Saccharomyces cerevisiae S288C: one gene and its partner. The protein of the gene in region 1 interacts with the protein of each later gene in a pairwise test. Each region holds a gene or a part of one and is shown on either strand. Other genes may lie near its edges.

Evidence for each region. The genes of interacting proteins can lie anywhere in the genome.
Region 2: the proteins of SMF3 (region 1) and LDS1 interact in a protein complementation assay, tested with the Saccharomyces cerevisiae proteins (one large-scale study listed by BioGRID).

What each region holds. Positions count from the first base shown.
Region 1 is NC_001144.5:208,324-213,545, reverse strand, and holds SMF3 (putative divalent metal ion transporter SMF3), read left to right. Parts: upstream 1-1,612; coding exon 1,613-3,034; downstream 3,035-5,222. Other genes in the region: mismatch repair protein MLH2, read left to right, coding at 1-1,177; RSC58 (Rsc58p), read right to left, coding at 3,277-4,785; DNA helicase RAD5, read right to left, coding at 5,046-5,222. UniProt on the Saccharomyces cerevisiae protein: Has a role in controlling the cellular iron ion levels. Mobilizes vacuolar stores of iron in conditions of low iron levels.
Region 2 is NC_001133.9:117,853-121,643, reverse strand, and holds LDS1 (Lds1p), read left to right. Parts: upstream 1-2,102; coding exon 2,103-3,080; downstream 3,081-3,791. Other genes in the region: serine/threonine protein kinase PSK1, read right to left, coding at 1-1,419; DNA-dependent ATPase FUN30, read right to left, coding at 3,330-3,791. UniProt on the Saccharomyces cerevisiae protein: Involved in spore wall assembly.

The DNA of each region.
Region 1 (5,222 bases):
TAGAGATTTCTCTTTACTAGATCCTATGGTTTGGTTTATTAATTTAAATTGCGATACAAAGCTTCTTGACGTAAATATCGAACCAGAGAAAAATGACGTGATGATCAAAAGTTTTGAAGTGATATTTAAGAAGATAGAGAATAAGTTAAAGTTGTTATTGGAGGAGAGAATTGGCATCGAAACAAATATGCTGGGAGATAAACATGTTCAGCCTTCTATCAACGAAAAAACTTCTCCCGCACTGGTGATACCTACACCCGACGCAGAGAATGAAATATCAAAGGGCTGTGGTGCTGTTAGTGGTAAAGACAAGACTGACATCCCACAAAAAAACTCAGATTTGATAGTACCAACTTTTTACGATGAAGCAAACTTAGAGAATACGACCATTGTCGCTGCTACTCCTTCACCTACAAAATTTAGCGAGGATAAAGCTCTTGACGAACAAACTCAGCTGACCATTTCAAGTTATAGAAGCTCGAGTTCCGGGTCTATGGCTTCCGAGGACAGTACTAATTGGCGACATAATTTCCAACAAGAACTAAGCGAAAATAGTGAAGTAGCAGGAGCTGGATCCTCAACATTACCCTCGTCATTAACTTATAACTATATAGAAACTATTCCAGAGAACGAGGATTTAGAACTTTCTAAGGACGCTTCTATTTCTAATCCTTTTATGATCACAAAAATAAGAAACGTCAACAAGAAACTGAGCGAAAACTTACTTGAGGCCAAACGTACTAGCTGTGGAGATGCCAATAAAAGGGGAATGCCCAACGAAAGACAGCTTTCAAATACAGAAAAAAAGGAACTAATAAAGCTTCAGCAAACCTACGGTAAAAGAAACAATACCGTGGACATGACCATTCCACGAAATTCGAAAAAAAAAGTAACTGATAATTATATAAAGAAAGCATCCTGCATGCACAAAACAAGGCCGAAACTCATGCATTTTTCCGAGTATACCAACAACTACGTCTATACCCTGAAGAATGAAAAAATTGTTAAGCATGACAGCGATAACTTTGCCAAAGAAACTCTGTGGTTACGATCGAGGGACGATGCCACAAGCCCTTCTTCCAGTCTTTTGCAAGCCTTGCGAGCGCATGTGAAGAAACCGGGACACATTGAAGCCACGACAAATGAATGGTGCCTCTTCACGCCAGACAGCCCCTGATGATCGGGTGCACTATCACCACTCAGCACAATAGATTACTTCATAATAGACCATTGTTTGTAACTCATGGTAACCGCACCCTGTTGCCCGCCCTGCCTCTCTTCCAGTTTCCGCACCTTGAAATTTCCGTTTTGGGTCAACTTAAAAATGCTCTAATATTGCATTGTTACGACATCCTGTTGTCATGCGACTAAAGGTATTTATACTGTATATATCTCATTCATCTGATTCTGTGAGGTTGCATAATTGAATATTTATTTCAAAGGAGCTAGAAGACAAAGATCACTCCACATAAATATACGGGGTTCCTTTATATATTAGTTCATTTTTTTTTTCAGTTGTCATACCCAAACTATTATTTCCTTCTGAACTCCTTTAAATATATCGTTCTTCCAAGCTAATTGATAACAGTAGTAGCATCACAAGAGAAAAAAAATGCGATCTTATATGCAGATTCTTCAAAAATTTGCCAAATTTATTGGGCCAGGGATATTAGTCAGTGTGGCTTATATGGACCCAGGAAATTATGCCACTAGTGTTTCCGGTGGTGCTCAATACAAATATACCTTATTATTCTCTATTTTTATATCCAACATTTTTGCCGTACTTTTGCAATGTCTCTGTGTGAAGCTGGGTACTATCACTGGCTATGATTTGGCTGAAAACTGTCGTCATAATTTGCCTAAAAAGCTAAACTATACCCTTTACCTTTTCGCTGAAGTGGCAATCATTGCTACTGATCTGGCCGAGGTTGTAGGCACTGCCATCGCTTTACAAATTCTTTTCAAAATACCACTAACTTGGGGTGTCTTATTAACGGTGCTAGATGTTTTGGTAATTTTAATGTTCTACACACCAAACGGCCAGTCCTTAAAAAAAGTTAGGGTTTTCGAATTTGGCGTTGGGATTTTGGTCATTGGAACTTGCATTTGCTTTGTTTTGGAGCTGTTTAAAGTTTCAATCCCAGACAAAGCTGAATTGTTTAAAGGGTTTTTGCCTTCAAATATCATTTTTAAGGAACAACAAGCTCTTTACATTTCATTGGGTATCTTAGGTGCCACTGTGATGCCTCATTCATTATACTTGGGCTCATCCATTGTTAAACCAAGATTGCACGATTACGATTTGAAGAAATACGGTAAGGTTAATGCCCGCCCAAGTTTAAGCGCTATAAAATATACGTTAAACTATGCGTACGCTGAACTAATCATTTCTTTGTTCTTAATTGCCACCTTTGTTAATTCCGCTATTTTAATTGTTGCAGGTGCTACTTTATCAGGCCAACCTGAGGCAGAGGATGCTGATTTGTTATCTATTTACAAATTACTGGTCCACTACATATCTCCTGCGGCAGGGTTAATCTTTGCATTGGCCATGTTATGTTCTGGTCAATCTGCCGGTATCATCTGTACACTTGCCGGGCAAATCGTTTCTGAGGGATTTTTACAGTGGTCTTTACCACCTTGGGCCACAAGATTGTGCACCAGATTGATTGCCATTGTACCATGTTTATTTGTTACTTTAACCATGGGGGAAAAGGGAATTTCAGATATTTTGAATTTTTCTCAAGTGGTCTTGTCCTTAATTTTACCAATCGTATCCGCTCCTTTAATTTATTTTACCGCAAATAGAAAGTTGATGGTTGTTCATGACGAAAATGGTGTGGTAAGAGCACCTGCCGATGTTAACGCCATTGCTGATGAAACCACTCCATTGAACTCCAAGCACAGTAAAATAGTTGATTTTACTAACAGTCGTTTGTTGACCTATACCTCTGTTTTCGTATGGGCTTTAATCGGGAGCTTGAATTGCTATTTGGTGATTTCCTATCTCTTAGGTGCCGACATCCATTTTTAATGGAACCTATTTATTGTCAAGTGTGTCGTTTTCTCTCGATTCTTGTTTTCTCTCATTTCTTTATTCTGCATAATACAACCCAAGTATATACTTACGTATGCATAGCCTTCAGAACAAATGCATACTTTATCTAATATCAAAATATAAACATACATTAGTCAAAAAAGACTTGATGAGCTTTCATGAAACTAAAACAAAGATAATTCATTATTTATCTTTGATTCCACTACCGCTGACACTATTTATTTCTTGTGTTTCCGTTTACGACCTGGTTGCGCCCTTACCACAGGTATGCTACCATTATAGTTTGTTTGTAATACTGGAAAGGCCCTTACATTGTTTATAGGAACCTTGGAAACCTTCTTTGCTAAGATAACCTCCTTTAGTATTCTTTTCACTTTGAAGTATAATTCTCGTTCCTCCGTAGTAGGCTTCAAAACTTTATTTAAAATCCTCTCCTTTCTAAGTCTTTTAAGTTTTAAGAGAGAGTCTGAAACCAACTTATCTGGTGTGCCATTTCGAAAGTTCTCAATTTCGTCATCTCCAATGTAATTAGATGGTGTCCAATTATATAAGTTTTGAAGCTTGATTATGAATTGTTCCTTATTCTCAGTACTCTCTGAATTTGCAGAAGCGATAGTCGCATCATTATCATTATCACCACCATCGTCCTGAACGCCATTGCTTTTGCCGTCAACATTTTTGTTGTTTTCATCGTTCTGCTTCCTGTTTATGCCTTCTTCATTCGTGTTCAGTAATTCTTCTTGTTTTACTTTCTTTTCATTTTTTTCATACAAGTCCATATAACCAATTCTTTCAAGCCAAATAAGACCCCTTGTTGTCGAATCCACAACGGTGCCGTTTTCATTAAAGGAAGGTGCCCAAGAATTATAATTACCATATTTTAGCCAGACGGTTGTAGGTAAAGCATACCAATTTGGATGCAAAAATCTAGTCATCATTTCAGTTGGTGGTAACGTAGGGTCCGGAATATTACTAGTATTAGCGCCTACAAATCCTAATCTTGGAGCTTCGTTTTCTATATCAGTTTGAGGTAAGACGTTGTTTATTTTGAAGTTTGTATTAGGAAGTTCATGAGGTCTTTTGTCAAGATTAGATTTAGAAATTATCGAAGAAAAAAGGTCCATATCCTTCGTTCTTATCTGATATGTTTGAGAAATCGGCACTGTGTAATTCATAGAAATCTTAATAAAATCATAAGAGATTATTTTGTCTAGTTCTGTTGCATCGTCATCGTCGTATTCATCCATCTCGTTTCCGCTCAACAACTTACCACTTCTTGATTTAATATTATTAGTTTGCGTTAGAGCAATTCCTATCCTACAACATTCTCGTAATAAAAGCTCTGAAGAAAATTTGTAGAACTTGTCGACTAATTGGTAGTTTCTTGTACCCTGAGGATAAAAGTGAATGAGGATTGTACAAACCAGCTTAATGTCGTGATACAGCTTATAAAACCCACCTTGTATGGGTTCGTACTCTCCATTTTCAAACCTCTTATTGATAGTTGTCAAAACTAATTTATCTTCATTACGTATCAAACCTTCAGAGTTACTTCTATTTTTAATGAATTTACAATATGATTCATATATCTTATCCGGATTTTTCTCAAAGAACTTGGCTGGAAAACTTTCATCTACTACATGACATTTCACAGAGGCAGCATTCAAAATGGATTGAACATTTACCAAAAAATCTACTAGTTTATTTCCACCTACACTTTCTGTCATAATGAAAACTTTCGATTTTCAAAATTATCTCTTATTTGATCCCGACTGATGATGATTTTCTTCGTCTTCGTATTTCTATCGTCCATGCCTTATGGCGCTGTTTTATTTTCTTAATTGTTTTTTTAATAATTGCAACTTAAAAATACGGGTAACGGAAAAGGAAGATAATAGAAGTTGCATGAAGTAGCTGAAGAATAATTAGTTCTTTCGGGTTGAAAATAATAATAAATAAAGTCTTTATATATGAGTATGTGGTATGACTATTCAAACAGCATCTGGATTTCTTCAATTCTCCTTTTTCTTCTCTCGTCTTCGTCTGTGTCCATGGCCTCACCGATGGTTCTCTTCTTTTCTTGAATGCGTAGCATTTTTTCTTCTATGCTATCTTGTATGATAAATCTCATAACTTTGACGCTGTTTGTCTGGCCAATTCTATG
Region 2 (3,791 bases), on another chromosome or scaffold:
TTGCCAAGGGTCTTCCTGACTACATGTAAAAATTGCCTGTGGGGCGGAATTTTTGGTAGAAGTGAATGTCCTCAATATGCGGCCATAGTCCTGTTGGGGCCGTATATCTGTTATCGCTGTCGTATCTCCAGAACCTGTAAATTCATCAATTTCCTCCTTTAGTTCATCTGTATCTGCGATCGGATTATCTCCAATAAAATTATAGTGCTCAAAGAATGGTTCTGCAAGACTATCCAGCAAAATCTTTTTAAGCTTTTCAGTTCTTTTATCGCGTTCTGAATTATTTTTCTTGGGATCTCCAAGCATTAGTTTATTCAAATTGAACAACGATATCATATGAAGATCCGAAGCTCTCTCGGAAGTATTTTTCTCCAGTGTTTCGTTTAATAAATTCAGAAGACTTTTCAAGTTCGCTCTTTGTTCATTCAATAGATCCATAGAGGGTCCATGGTGCGGTAAAAAAGTTTCATCTTCCTGATATGCCCTCTCATTGAGTAAACTGCTATTGCGGAGATTGCTAGTTTGATCCTTGAAGGGTTGTCTAAAACTTGGCCTTTCAGGACTTATGTTGTTTCCATAGTCGCCACGAAATAAAGAATTATTATGTTTGAGCAGCGGATCTTGCTCAGGTAAGATGGAAGGTAAATAAGCCAACGAGTTGGCTCTATGGAATGTTTGAGAATGTGTTGGATCCAAATTAGGGAAAACTGGGGTGCCCGGTTTTTTGTTAGATAAAGCAGAAGATGCTGCTGAGGAGGAAGAGGTATTATTTACAAATGCATTTAAAGTAGCGGAAGTAGTGTTCCAAATCTGGCTCTTATTTCTGTTCATTAAATGGTTTGCAGAAGCCGATGTCCTTGGTAAACTGCTCCTACGGCCCGCAAACTCTTTCAAAGGAGGCAAATCATCTGGAGTAGGCTCCAGTAGCATACTTGGGTTTTGTATTATGATTTCCAATGATCTCTTCAAAATCCTCAATCTGACTGCCAGGGAATTTGGCGAAAGTGGATTGTACGAATAAGAATGAGTTGATTCATTCGGAAGAAACTCTAACTCCTTTATGTCTTCATCCGTTAAGGGCGATGATACGGTTGAATCAACGGATGAAGAAGCTGTCGAAGGAAGTCTTGGTTGTTCAAAATCTAAAGGAGGTGGGGGTTTAGTCTTCCGAAAGCTCGCAAATGTATCTCTTAAACTTTGCTCGAACTCATCACCTTCCTTTTTATTCGGGGTTGAAACGTCACTTAAAGACGTATCGTAATTTTCTAATTCATTGTCAATATGGTTCTCTTGATCGGGGCTCGGTGGTGTCTGCAAAGATGCTACAGAACTGCTCGTACCTTTATGTGTAATCGCATGTTTTTCCTTCAAATTAACAAATGAATGTTCTGAGAGGTTGGAAGCACCGATGTAGGGCATTACTTCTTTGATGTTTACCTATATGCAAATTAGGGAGAGAACAAAACAAAACAAAACAAAACAAAAATAGAAGAAACAGAAAAACAAAGGTGAAAAAAAACAAAAGAGGGAGATGACGAACGGAAACTTTCACTCAATTGGTAAGCTACTGTTTCTAATTTCTGACTTACCAAAAAGATGCAAAATAACTATAATATACCGCTGTTGTGACGATATCCGGGGTTTCTAATCTTTTATGAGCTTTTGTATAGCAAAAAGGTGCAACGACGCCTGAAACAAAGGAAAAGAAGAGGATAATAGGAAAATAATACAAAAAACTGCACTTTGTAACGTTGATTTCCTTTTCAACGAATGCTATGTTGTGGTTAGCGACCTGCCCCTTGCCAAATCTTATTCACCACTTCCTTAGCATGTAATCATTTACTTAAAAAACCCTTGTTTTAATATTTATTACCCGCCATGGAATAAAGCACGTGACTCAATAATACGACGGGATCTTTCTGGTTTTGTGACACATGGAATAATATCATAGTAATAAGTATTATACATATACATATATATATAGATATAGATGTGGAAAAGGAAGTTTCAAATCATTTTTTATTTTCGTTCTTGCCACGAATAAGTGTTGTTATAGTGTAGGGAACAAAGGTACATTATACAAACAATAACAACAACAGGAAATGAGTTTTACAGGTTCATTAGCGCTGGCAGGTATTGGTGGTTTGGTGTACAAGTTTGGCGGAGGCCAATCGTATGAAAAACTGCCATATGTCAACATCCCCTTCAATCAGTACTTGGATAAAGTTTACAAGAAGCACTTCAGCAAAGTTATGAGCCGTACCAGATACGTGCTAATGAACTTTTTCAAAGATGCATTCACAGGAGGTGCATTCATGTACCCGTTCAAAGGGTTTTTAGAGTTCAACACCAATAAGAGCAGTTACTCAACGACTATGTTAGGTATATTATCGAGTTACTTGATAATGTTTGCCCTGGTAAGCTTTGTGTATTGGGCTACAATTACGCCAATGTACACAGCTTTTTTGATTGTGCTGGGCCCTATTGGGCTTTTCATTGCCATTTTTCATTCCTTTTTGCAAGCAAATGTTTTCACTTTATTGTTTATGAGACTCAGTCATTTTAATAATCATTTAGTGGAGGTGTGCTTAGAGAAGAATGGTTTAGAGGAGAATTTGAGTGAAGTCAAACCAATCAAGTACTATGCACCTATTAACTCGATATATTTCTGGGCTTACTATTTCCCATTCAAGTTGGTCAAGTACATGTTAGGCCTGTCGGTTCTTTTTGTGCTGTTGGTTATATCTTTTTTCCCACTTATTGGACCAATCCTTTTTCATATTTTAATTTCTCCTTTCATCACTCAAATTTACTTCACGAAAGTTTTACGTTTACAAAATTTCGACAACATACAAAGACGTGAAAATATTTATCTCCACGCTGGCCAATATGCCTCATTTGGTTTCTTGGCCGGTTTGATTGAGTCCGTGCCCATTTTAGCGGGCTTTGCCATTTCTACAAATACTATTGGTAGCGTTTTATTTAACCTTGATCATCCAATGGTCCCTGAAAATTTAGTAGAAACTCAAGCTGAAATTGAAGCAGCACCACAAGATATCAATCAACAACCGAATCAATAAATTGAAAAAAGTTCACCATTTCTCTCCCCAGATTAAAATTACCTAGCTATACATACTAACCTATGTATATATACACATATATGTATATTATACTCTAGAAAATATTTTTACCGTTCTAAATTTCTTTGTCCTTTGTTCTATCAACTCTCTTTTTCCACATGGTGCGTTCACGCAGAAGAAAATAAATATGTTATTTTTTTGGTTTATTTTCTGCTTATCTATTTACTTTTTTACTATATTTTTATTTATTTATTCTTTGGTTCCCTTCGGTTTCGAGTTTTCATCATAAATTATATCCTCCAACATATCACTAACTTTACTTTCCAACACATCTTGAGATTTTTTATCTTCACTGATATACGAATCTAAAGCTAGTTTATTTTTGGCCAGTTGATGAATCTTTTCCTCTATGGAATCCTTAGTAATTAAAGTGGTTATATTAACTTCCTTTGTTTGTCCCACACGATGTGCCCTATCAGCAGCTTGTCTGTCATCATGTGGGTTAAAACTTTGATCGAATATAATAACATTATTTGCGCACACCAAATTAATACCGAATCCACCTGCCTTTGTTGATAAGATGAAAATGGGAATATCCTTATCTTCATAAAACTTATCTATTAGTAGTTGTCTATCATTCACTTGCGTGGAACCATCTAATCTTAAAAATTTATAATCTAAGGTGGACAAAACCATCTCTAGAATATCCAG